Saccharomyces cerevisiae S288C: one gene and its partners. The main gene of each other region encodes a partner of the protein of the gene in region 3 in a complex. Each region holds a gene or a part of one and is shown on either strand. Other genes may lie near its edges.

Region 1 (3,349 bases), on a different chromosome or scaffold from region 3:
GCTATCGTATACTTCGTGTTTGCCATTACGTTGACCAACTACTTTCTAATTCCCGTTTTCCCCTCCACTTCCTGGTCCGATTACACCGTTATAAACATTTTCTTGATGGGCGCTTTCTCATGTCTCATGTGCAGTAGCTGTTTCCACTGCATGAAGCAACACTCTGAAAAGCAAAGCAATTTCTGGAGCAAGCTCGACTACTTGGGGATTATCAGTTTGATTTCCTGTTCTATGATCCCTATAATATACTTTGGTTACTTCGACCACATATCCTACTTCAGTCTTTTCACGATTGTTACTTTAGTCCTGGCAACATTTTGTACAGTCTGTGTCCTCCACGACAAGTTTAACACTTCCACATTTCGTCCATTTAGGGCCATGTTTTTCATATTGTTTGGATTTAGTGGCTTACTCCCATTGACCACAGGGTTTTTCAAGTTCGGTATCCAAGGGGTTCTTAACAGAATAAAAGTCAGCTTTGTGTTTTGGGAAGCTCTCTTTTACATTTCAGGGGCTGTAATCTACGGGTTTAGGATTCCTGAAACTTTGGCTCCAGGGAAGTTCGATTTCTTCGGTAGCTCTCATCAAATATTTCATATTATGGTGGTTCTTGGTTCTGTATGCCACTTGAAAGCCATTATCGATTCTTACAAATTAATGCATTCTCATATCCACCCTTGATGGGCCTACAACTACTACAAAATCAAATAAATAACATTATATATCTAAGGTTAGAAAATAATTAAATGCAAAAAAAGTCTTTATTCCTTTTTAGATATTCGTCACATCATGCTTTTATCATAGATCGCATTTTGACAGGTACTTCGCTATATTAGCCTAATTAATTTTGGTCTTACTAAAGTGAGTAATGCCGAAAAATTAAACGTTTGAATAAGTGAACCTACTACAAAGGAAAGAGAGGAAGAGAAAAGGATAGGACTAAAAGACTTCCTTATATTTTTCGGTACGCTTGCGTTTCACTGAAGAGAATAAAAAGAACAAATTATATAAATTTAACACACTATGAGCACGAGAACAAAGGCCCTGAATGCATACAGGCATGGCTTAAGAGCAACCCGAATAGCTTTCCGGAATGATGCTGAAGTATTACTAGCCGCGAGAGCTAAAATGCGTTCAGGAATGTTATGTCCCCCAGATCCTAAACTCACCACAGAGGATCAGATTCAACATTTAGAGGATGTGGCTGTTTTTTTGAGACGAAACCTGGTTCAGGGCAAAAAGGTTGATGGCTCAAGTACTAAGGAGCCTAGGTACCATTTGAACATTCACAAAGACACCGAATTGGGTGACAATGAGACGATTGCAGACCCTACGGCAAGAGTGAAAACAAACTTAAAGGCAAGACCATTTAAATGCTCTGATAAAAAGCAATGATAATGCCTTGATTTTGTTTTATCTTCGAAGCTATATACATGTAAATACTTTTTTAGTACCTAGCAACTTTGCTAGGTGGCATATAAACTGATTTAGCACGATATATCGTTGCATTTGTTCTGTTTGTAGTATGTACATGTATACAGCTTGTTGTATTTGATGTGCTACTGAAACAGCGTAGTTGCTAGTGCTTTATCCCTTTTGACGGAAATGAACAAAGCTTTATAGCGGAATTAAACTTAACGAAACTGGAGAAAGCATAAAAGAGGAAAAGGGCAGCGGTAACTCATTAAATAATCTAGTTGGACGAGCCATAATAAGAGAAATAGACGGAGTAGAAAATGCGCTCCTCCATGTTTAGATGTGTGAGTCGCGCTCATTACAGCACAAGTGTCACAGAAGATTTCATAAATAGCATTCTAGCAAGGGCTCAAGAGGCAACAGCAAAAGCTTCCTCCAATGCTCTCAAATTGGACAAGATGAAGGAGGGTAGAATGCAAAATAAGAGGAGAAACGGGAATCAGAATAGGAATAGTATGAACAATAAAGAAAGCAGGGGTAGAGAGGGAAATCAAGGAGAAAGAAACATGAGACTGAAAAACCGTTCTAGTGATTCTGTTCGTGCTAACAAGCAGCAGTGGAATAAAGGTGCTAATACGTCTTTTGTAAAGAATCCTACTGGAAATACAGTAGTTATGCAGCCACAGTTCAAAAAGATGCAGAATGGCAAAAATAATTTGAAAGGAGATGCGAGAGTCGAAGATGATTTACTTGATGTCTTCAATTCGTCGATGGAGCAAAAACCTGTTAATTTCAATGGAACCCCCAAATCTAAAGCAAGGTTTCAAAAAAAGAGTCATATCTTAACAGCATCTAAAAGGAGAAAGGCTCCTCAACAGCAGCTACAGAAGGTTATCAAGAGACCTGTCAGTTCAGAATATGTACTAGAAGAGCCCACTCCTTTATCTTTGTTAGAATATACTCCTCAAGTTTTTCCAACAAAGGAATCCAGATTAGTCAACTTTACCTTAGATAGCTTGAAAAAATCCAATTACCCCATTTACAGATCGCCAAATTTGGGAATCCTCAAAGTACATGATTTCACCCTAAACACGCCAAACTTTGGTAAATATACACCAGGATCCTCCTTGATTTTTGCCAAAGAGCCTCAATTGCAGAATTTACTTATTGAAGAAGACCCAGAAGATTTTCATAGGCAAGTAACAGGAGAATATCAACTCTTAAAACCATATGTGAAAAAAGATTTTGAAAAACTGACGAAATCTAAAGATACTGTGAGTAAGCTCGTACAAAATAGTCAAGTTGTGAGGTTATCATTACAATCTGTTGTTATGGGCTCCGAGGAAAAGAAATTGGTATATGATGTTTGTTCTGGAATGAAACCAATTTCTGAATTACAACAGTAAATCAAACATCGTTATTTCATTCTTACATACCTGTAAATATCTAGTACGTATAAAATTTGAATTGTATGCCTGAACAGAAAAAGAATAGGTGGGCTCTTCTTATCCTTGACTATCAAAATTCCGGCTTAGTTCGTCAGAAATGGATATTTGATTTTTCAACAAACATTTCCGCAAATTAGATTCCTCCTTCTTTTCTTGATACTTAATAAGTACCTTTAAAAGCAATTCGGATATTGTTTGTACGGGAAATACGGAAGGTATAGTTTCGAGGATCTTTAATTGAATATCTGTATCATCTAAAAGTTCAAAATTTCTCTGTAGCAAATTAGTCACTAATTCAACTGAGTAATTCAAAGAAGATATGTCCAAGTATTGTTTCATCACCGCAACCAAGTTCTGCTTGCCTATGTATTTTTCTACACTTCTGAAATCATTAAATGACAAATATATTTTCAGCAATTCTTCGGAAGAAACCCAGTTTGTTAATTCATTGGGGAAAAATAACAAGGTCAATATGTGTTCTTTAT
Region 2 (2,652 bases), on a different chromosome or scaffold from region 3:
GTTTTGAGAATGCTAACAATAACTATCGAAATATTCTCGGAAGCTGTCATTGCACTCATTAACCATTTTCCATTGTTCGCATTATTACTTAGGTTAAAAGATCCTAAACGTCTACCCGGTGGCATTTCAATTGAGCTCAAAACCACGGTTTCTAACAAGCATACAACCTTAGAACTTCAAAACAATCCTATTAAATTCAAGAGTATGTTCAGACCATACAATCTATTGTTGTCGCAAATGAGGACAAATTATTTCTCGTTTGCTACTGTACGAAAGATTGTCCGAGGGGAGTCTATAATGGTCAATAGAAATAAGCTGTACTATGTTCTTTATTCTTCACTGCCTAGTAAGCCATTGAGTGTAAAGGATTTATACAAAAGGCTGACTATTCAGGCATAACGTTTTCTTTTATAAGTAAAGTAGCGTTTTCTTGCTTCAGCTATTTGTTGTTTTATTTTTGATTTTGTATGTACATGAAATGAGTTTCTACATAATGAATATTTTTTTTAGTAAGGGTGCTCCAATCATTTTTTTTTCTTCCCCTTCCCCTTTGCAGTTGCAGCTGCATCCTTCTTCATCTTCTTAGGAGCACCTTTACCACGACGTTTCTTTGCTTCTACCATAGATAATCGATATTGCTCCTCAAGGTCTACAAATTCAATATCAGGATATAATGTTTTCAAATGTCTGAACTTCAGGATATCCGGATTGCCGTAGTAGCTTGCCACAGAAGGGCCCTTTAATCGCTCATTTAGAATCTTAGAACCGGTTCTTATACCTGATGGGTTGAAATTTTGATCAAATATCTTCGCAGATAACTCTGCTACTTTTAGGAGTCTCGCCTTTGGTACGTTCATTGAAAGTCTTATGATAAACTAATCCACGCAATCACTACGTACCACTTCGTCGAGCGGGTCAAAACAAGTACCTATTCTCCATGGCTATGTGCTCTAAAATGGTTTAGAAGTTCGCTTATTATATTTCTAACTGTTTTAGATCACTATATACGCTACGTGTTGATAAGACTTCATTTGCACATTTTTACTACAATAGCTAACTACTCTCAATTGATTAAACTTCTCAGCAAATAAAGTACATGGCTAAATGTGTGACAAGATGACACAATGAATGTATTTCTTTTTTCTTGATTTTTATTTAGCCGCTAAATTGATAAAGAAATCTGTTATTCTAATAAAACATTATACTATAATTATTAATATACTATTTGTAAATATCACCTTACTTACCACTCGACGTTGTCAGCATTTTCTTCAGCCCATTCAGTAGCTTCAGCTTGCTCTTCGGTAACCTCTTCCTTGGCTTCTTCTTCACCAGCTTCTTCGGTGGTAGCTTCTTCAGCAACTTGTTGTTCAACTTCTTCAGGGTCTCTGTAGAAGTACAAATCTGGCATGATGGACCATGGTTGAGTTCTGTCAACTAAAGCACCTCTTAGTCTCAAAACTTCTCTAGCCAATAAGTACCAGATTAAACCAATGGAGTGCTTACCTCTGTTGTTACATGGGATAGCGACATCGACGAATTCTGATGGAGAGTCAAGATCAGTTAGAGCAATGACAGGGATGTTAACGTAAGAAGCTTCCTTGATGGCTTGAGCATCTGATCTTGGGTCGGTGACAATAACTAATCTTGGTTCCTTGAAAGAACGGGTGATATAATTGGTGAAAGAACCTGGAGTGAATCTACCGGCGATTGGGGTAGCACCGGTGTGGGCAGCGAACTTCAAAACAGCCCTTTGACCGAAAGTTCTGGAAGAGATGGCAACAACGTCTTCTGGGTTTGGAATGGCAGCGATGATTCTGGCAGCCAAAACCAATTTTTCCCAGGTCTTACCAACGTTGATAACGTGGACACCATCTGGTCTTGCGTTGAAAACATATGGTTCTTGGTGAACCTGAAACAAAATTAAAGAAGAAAAAGTTAGTATAAAAGATTCAAAAACGTACACTTGGTATATGCTGTGAATGATCAACTGATTCAAATTAATGTACTATGAAAAAATGGCATTTATAGTTGGCTAACAGCGTCGGAAGAATAGGTACCGGAATTAATTGATTTCATTGAAAGAGGTTTAATACCAAAGGTTTGTTTTTTTTTTTCATTAGCGATTTAAAATTTAATAACATAATACAATTAGAAAGTCTATTGGCAAAATATTCGCTGATAATTAGCTGGAGTTTCAAACTGTTTTAATGATTGTTCATATATTTCTCTTCTTATTCAGCCTGAAAAATGCTATCCCAGCATTCCGTTTGGTTGGCGGGAAACCTGGTTGTGGCTATTCTTTCACTCGAACTGTTTTCAATCACACATTACTCTATTATATAATCGGGAATGAGTATAACATACTTGAACGTTTCTAGCACCTAAGTGAGTGTTAGCAGCCAACAAAAGTTGGGCATCTTCTGGAGTCAAGTCAAAAGTAGCTGGTAAGGACATTTCGCTCTCTATTTAGTTTGCTATTTTCTAAGCTATACCTCACTCTACAAGGGCAGTTTACGAAGTAAACTAACAATGCTACATTTCGATATATTATAAGCATCCTTGCTACGGGATCTGGCAAGTGTCCTGCCCTGCTACTATCTGCCCGGCAGCAGGCCACTGTACTACTCACAATTGGGAACACGACGGGAT
Region 3 (2,808 bases):
CCAAGCACACTGTACACCAATGGCTACTAATATTACTTGGCATCCAAATCTTACTTACGACGAACGCAAGGCATTGAGAAAACAGGACGGTTGTACTATTTGGTTAACAGGTCTAAGTGCGTCAGGTAAAAGTACAATCGCCTGTGCGCTAGAACAGTTACTGCTCCAAAAAAACTTGTCTGCATATAGATTGGATGGTGACAACATTCGTTTTGGATTGAACAAGGATTTGGGTTTCTCAGAAAAGGACAGAAATGAAAACATTCGTAGAATTAGCGAAGTTTCTAAGCTATTTGCTGATTCATGTGCTATTTCAATCACCTCATTTATCTCTCCATACAGAGTTGACAGAGATAGAGCTCGTGAACTACATAAGGAGGCTGGTTTGAAGTTCATTGAAATATTTGTTGATGTTCCATTAGAAGTCGCTGAGCAAAGGGACCCTAAGGGTTTATACAAGAAAGCTAGGGAGGGTGTAATCAAGGAGTTTACAGGTATTTCTGCCCCATATGAAGCGCCAAAAGCTCCAGAGCTACATTTGAGAACCGACCAGAAGACGGTTGAAGAATGTGCTACCATTATTTATGAGTACTTAATCAGTGAAAAAATCATCCGTAAGCATTTGTAATTTGACCGATTACTGTACATTTAATGATATATAAAAGATGTATATATATAATATAGAACATATTTATTCGAGGATTCATTCGAAAAAAAAAGAAAACTTTAGTGACGAGATTGAGTAAAGTGAAAAACTGAACAAATTTTCGGAAGCCTTTTGATTCTAAGTGCCTACTTTGATATCAGTAGTTGATGTATTATAGTATAGACCTATTATTCATTAAATATACTCAGAGCGCTCAAGTCTGCTTCTTCAAAGTGTTCAACCGAGCTTGCAAGTCATCGTCAGGATTACCGTGAAATTCTGATCCGGCGCCAATAGGTTCAGGAATCCCCATCGCTGTTTCTGCGATCGGCGCATTAGAAACCAGATTTTGAGGCGTGCTTTGCAACTGTGAATTCAAATCCACTCCAATCTCATCAAGAACTTTATTTACAATTTCGTCAGCTTCTTCGTCTTCATCCACCTCATCACCCATGACGTTATCAATAGCTTCGTCCATGAATTCCTGTCGTTGACCCATCAAATCACTCTGCTTTTCAAACTCCATCGATATCCTTTGCAACTGAGGTAGATTCATTGTTCTGTTCATTCCAGCCAAAAGACCAGTGGCCTCGCTCATAGAACGTGTCATTTGGTCACTACTTCGAACGGCCTGTATTCTCAATGATATCGCCTGAAGTTGAGCTTTCATGTTGTCAAATTTTTGGATGTAATTCCGGGTTCTTACTAAATCTTTTGCTTGAACTTTCGCAGCTGCAACTTGCCCATTCTTTGCCGATTTTTTAATTTCTGATACAAGTTTTTTATCTTGTAGTTCCAATTTTCTCTTTTCTCTTTCAAGCTCCCTCTGAGTCCTTTCTAAAGCCCTTTGATTCTAAAAACTCAAATAATTAACGTTAGTATGTTCACTAAAATAACTGATCCAAATACAGAACAACATACTTTTTTTAACCTCTCTTGCGGAGTGACATTCTTTCCAAATACCCACTCAAACAAACTCATTGTTTAACGTTCTGTGTCCAAGGGTGAAACAATCAGCCTTGAAGTACACTGGTCACAAATACGCTTCAACTGAATACGCATAATTCGAAAGGATGATTTCTGATTAGGAGGAGACGAAGTCCCTTTAATGCTGATTTTATCTATCTTTTCGCAGTTATCATCTAACCCGGAAAAGTTTCAACAAGACTTTAGCCTTTTAATGGAAACTCCCACTAGTTCAGCTTAAACAAAATAGAAAAGCTTCAACAGAGGAAAGAATAACGCAAAACCACCCTTTTCACTAAGATGCTTTATGAGCTGATCGGACTTGTTCGCATAACCAACTCCAATGCGCCAAAGTTGGAAGCAAAAGAATTGTCTTCCACAATCGGGAAACTGATTATTCAAAACAGAGGTGTGGTGAGGGACATTGTACCCATGGGCATAAGGTATCTTCCTAAAATAATGAAGAAAGACCAGGAAAAACATTTTCGAGCATATCACTTTTTAATGCTGTTTGATTCATCAGCTGCGGTACAGTCTGAAATTCTAAGAACTTTAAAGAAAGATCCCCGTGTCATAAGATCATCCATCGTTAAAGTTGATTTAGATAAGCAGCTGGATAGAGCCTCATCGTTACACCGTTCTTTGGGGAAGAAGTCTATTTTAGAATTAGTGAATGAAGATTATCAATCCATTTAGGTATAGCGCACAGGTTTTGACTGGGGACGCTACAAACACATGTAAATACATACATATCTTTCATACACATATAATAAACAAAGCAGGAAGAGCATTCTAAAAGCCTCACTTAACATAGACACCATTAAAAGCCACCCATTTATTTCAAAAATTTATAAAATTCTAAAGATAATCAGTGGTATGTGATTAAATAAACTACATGTATATTATGCTAAACGACAATCCTGACTAAGAAAAAGAAAGAAAAAGATATATATTTATATGTATCTACATAAGACCAACCGTATCCGTAATTGCAGATAAAATACTCATTAAGCCCTCTTTACACCTAGTGACGTTATAGACGTGGCGGACGAACGAGAAACAGAAGTAGATCCATCAAATAACGAAGGGCTTACACTGGGTTCATCAGTCATATTAAGATCAAAGTCAAGTTCCAAGTTGGACAAAGGGACACTTTCGATATCGTTTGAATCTGCAGCCAATGGATCACTCTTTGA
Region 4 (3,008 bases), on a different chromosome or scaffold from region 3:
CTTGGAAAACGGTCCAACTCATGCGCCGGTTCCAATTCCTTTCAGTTTACAGCACGCCGCTGAACCTCCTGTGGAAAAGAGACCTCACGATGATGATGGATCTTCGGAAAAGAAGAAGAAGAAGAAGAAGAAGGATAAGAAGAAGGACAAATCCAACTCTTCTATTTGATGGACGGACAAACTCGTTACTATTACTCTACTGTCTTTCTAAAATAAATATAATAATAAAAAAAGGAATAAAATATAGCAGCATGGGCTTGCTTTGCCCATAGTGTATGCACATATATATATATATATATGTATCTATCCCTCTCCTCTTGTAACAGTATATCTTCCTTTTCATTTTCGTTGTGTATATGTATGTATATAGTTCTAAATTTGCGATTATACCTTTTCAAACCTCTCAATGTTGTATTGTGCTAAAACTATGTACATTTTAGAGAAAAAGAAGGAAGCAAAACAAATACATAATATATACAGGGGGGCCGTTCTTTTTGTTTTTGAACATGTATTAAAGAGTGCTCAATAATTGATCTACAATATCAAATTTCTTCTTTGGTGCATCTTCAGGGCGTTTCCAGTGTTCAGGAAACTCATAATCCCGCTTCTTTTTACGTAAACTCTTAGCTATAGTATGCCTTGTGTCAAGGGGAACATCGCTAAAATCGTCCTCCGTCAAATCTTTTGACTCCGCTAACAGCCTTTGAAGAATATCATGCAAATAACGTGCATTTTGTGATGCATGCTCAAATTTGTCACTAGACATTTTAAAAATATCTGTAGTATGATCATAACGCGACCTGGCTAATATTCTGAACTTATGTAATGATTTTTCCTCCAGGCCCAATTCCTTGGTTTTAACGCTTAATACAACCTTCCTCGAATTGGGATGCTCTTCGCCAACATAACTAGTGTATCTATAAGTGACCGGATGACTTTCTGGAGATGGTCTCTTGTATTCCTGGCGATATTGAGCTAATAGCGGTAACTCATATGCGGCTAATCGATTATAGAACCTTTGTTCACGATGTTGGGCAACCAATTCCTGAGCTTGCGATGGCAATTCATCAAACATAAACGGTCTAAGACTGTTATCGCGATTCACGTTTCCACCTTTTATATCAATAGCGCCTTGTTCTCCTCTGTGATATAGCTTTTTAATATCGTTAACAGGTACATTTGAGTACTCAGAAGTGGTTAATAAGGCATTCAGTTCGTCTTTGTTAGGTTTATACTCTGAACCCAATCTAGCCATTCTCTCCCAATATAACTCTAAAATTCTTTGAGGAGGTAAACCCTTCCATTTTTCGGGATGCATATAGAGATCTGCTGAAAAAGCTGGTCCTTCTCTCACAGTTTTAGCTTCATTACCAGCATCACTGTTCAAACATCTAGACATTGTCAAAACCCTTTTCTGGGTGCTCCACAAATTACCCCGAGAGACTTTCCATAACCCCAATGGTACTTTCATCTTCCTAAGAATAGTATTTTAGTAGTGTCAAATGTTTCGGTAACTCTACTGCCTTGTTCACAGATCGAAATATACTCAGAATCAGTTACAGAAAAGGTCCCATTTAGCGTAATTTCTTAGCGGAACTCATTAAAGAGCTCCGACGTGCAACGCGATAAAGGTTCGCCGACGACAACAAAACAATGGCAGGCAGTCATTAAATGAACGCCATCAAATGAAATATTCGTGGTAGCGATTACAATAAGGAAGTTGGAAAAACATAACAAAGACGGAGCGACGAGAAGTATTGGACAGGACATATGCCTAGACATGGAAGAAGAGGAAAACTGCCAAAAGGCGAGAAACTTCCTAAAAAGGAGGGAGGCGACAATACTCCGTCAAAGCTTTTATCGTCAATGCTTAAAACTTTAGATTTGACCTTCGAGCGTGATATTGGAATGCTCAATGGCAAAAGTGTTAGGTCCATACCCAATAAAAAAACTTTACTTGAATTGCAAAGTCAATTGGATAGTCTCAATGAAATACTGGGTACAATTGCCCGAGGTGATCAAGAGACCATTGAAGCGCTTCGGAAAATAAGAGACAGTAAAAATGAGAAGCAAGCAAACGATGAAAAGCAGGAAACTTCAAATGCAGACGGGCAGCACGAAAGTTCTACTGCTACTGAAGAAACGAATATAATTGATAAAGGGGTACAAAGCCCACCAAAACCTCCTCCTTCTAATGAAATCTCCGGCACAATTGAGAACGATGTAGAAAGCATCAAACAAGCGGCTGATAATATGGCTAAAGAAGAAATTAATGAAGACAAAGATTTACAAGTTCATAGAGATCAACCCAGAGAAAAGAGGCCGTTCGATTCTGAAACTGAAAATAGGGCCACTGAAAATGAAAACACACAGAGGCCAGACAATAAGAAGCAAAAAATTGACGTTGACAAAATGGAAAACGATCCAACTGTTAAAAATCCAAAATCAGAATTTGTAGTATCGCAAACGTTACCTCGAGCAGCAGCAGCACTCGGCTTATTCAATGAAGAGGGACTAGAAAGTACAGGAGAAGACTTCCTAAAAAAAAAATACAATGTAGCTAGTTATCCAACAAATGATTTGAAAGATCTGTTACCAGGTGAATTACCGGATATGGACTTTTCGCATCCTAAACCAACCAACCAAATTCAATTCAATACCTTTCTAGCATTTGTGGAAAATTTTTTCAAAGATCTTAGTGATGACAACTTAAAGTTTTTGAAGATGAAATATATTATACCCGATAGCTTGCAATTTGACAAAACTTATGACCCTGAGGTAAACCCGTTTATTATACCGAAACTAGGCCCTTTATACACAGATGTTTGGTTCAAAGATGAAAACGACAAAAATTCTGCCTATAAAAAACCTTCACCATATTCAAACGATGCATCTACTATACTACCAAAAAAAAGTGCCAACGAACTTGATGATAATGCTTTGGAATCGGGCAGTATATCGTGTGGGCCCTTATTATCTAGGCTGTTGAGTGCTGTATTAAAAGATGA

What was found.
Region 1: MRP17 (region 3) and RSM28 share a complex: the UniProt entries of both Saccharomyces cerevisiae proteins name them as parts of the mitochondrial small ribosomal subunit.
Region 2: MRP17 (region 3) and RSM27 share a complex: the UniProt entries of both Saccharomyces cerevisiae proteins name them as parts of the mitochondrial small ribosomal subunit.
Region 4: MRP17 (region 3) and RSM24 share a complex: the UniProt entries of both Saccharomyces cerevisiae proteins name them as parts of the mitochondrial small ribosomal subunit.

The regions. Positions count from the first base shown.
Region 1 is NC_001136.10:1,435,194-1,438,542, forward strand, and holds RSM28 (mitochondrial 37S ribosomal protein mS46 RSM28), read left to right. Parts: upstream 1-1,736; coding exon 1,737-2,822; downstream 2,823-3,349. Other genes in the region: IZH1 (PAQR-type receptor), read left to right, coding at 1-681; MZM1 (Mzm1p), read left to right, coding at 1,024-1,395; CORVET complex subunit VPS3, read right to left, coding at 2,922-3,349. UniProt on the Saccharomyces cerevisiae protein: Component of the mitochondrial ribosome (mitoribosome), a dedicated translation machinery responsible for the synthesis of mitochondrial genome-encoded proteins, including at least some of the essential transmembrane subunits of the mitochondrial respiratory chain.
Region 2 is NC_001139.9:920,380-923,031, reverse strand, and holds RSM27 (mitochondrial 37S ribosomal protein mS33 RSM27), read right to left. Parts: upstream 858-2,652; coding exon 525-857; downstream 1-524. Other genes in the region: GPI1 (phosphatidylinositol N-acetylglucosaminyltransferase), read left to right, coding at 1-399; 40S ribosomal protein uS2 RPS0A, read right to left, coding at 1,244-1,912, 2,368-2,457. UniProt on the Saccharomyces cerevisiae protein: Component of the mitochondrial ribosome (mitoribosome), a dedicated translation machinery responsible for the synthesis of mitochondrial genome-encoded proteins, including at least some of the essential transmembrane subunits of the mitochondrial respiratory chain.
Region 3 is NC_001143.9:436,597-439,404, reverse strand, and holds MRP17 (mitochondrial 37S ribosomal protein bS6m MRP17), read left to right. Parts: upstream 1-1,912; coding exon 1,913-2,308; downstream 2,309-2,808. Other genes in the region: MET14 (adenylyl-sulfate kinase), read left to right, coding at 20-628; ESCRT-III subunit protein DID4, read right to left, coding at 861-1,499, 1,568-1,627; AUR1 (inositol phosphorylceramide synthase), read right to left, coding at 2,620-2,808. UniProt on the Saccharomyces cerevisiae protein: Component of the mitochondrial ribosome (mitoribosome), a dedicated translation machinery responsible for the synthesis of mitochondrial genome-encoded proteins, including at least some of the essential transmembrane subunits of the mitochondrial respiratory chain.
Region 4 is NC_001136.10:812,682-815,689, forward strand, and holds RSM24 (mitochondrial 37S ribosomal protein mS35 RSM24), read right to left. Parts: upstream 1,472-3,008; coding exon 512-1,471; downstream 1-511. Other genes in the region: HMO1 (Hmo1p), read left to right, coding at 1-169; histone acetyltransferase NGG1, read left to right, coding at 1,771-3,008. UniProt on the Saccharomyces cerevisiae protein: Component of the mitochondrial ribosome (mitoribosome), a dedicated translation machinery responsible for the synthesis of mitochondrial genome-encoded proteins, including at least some of the essential transmembrane subunits of the mitochondrial respiratory chain.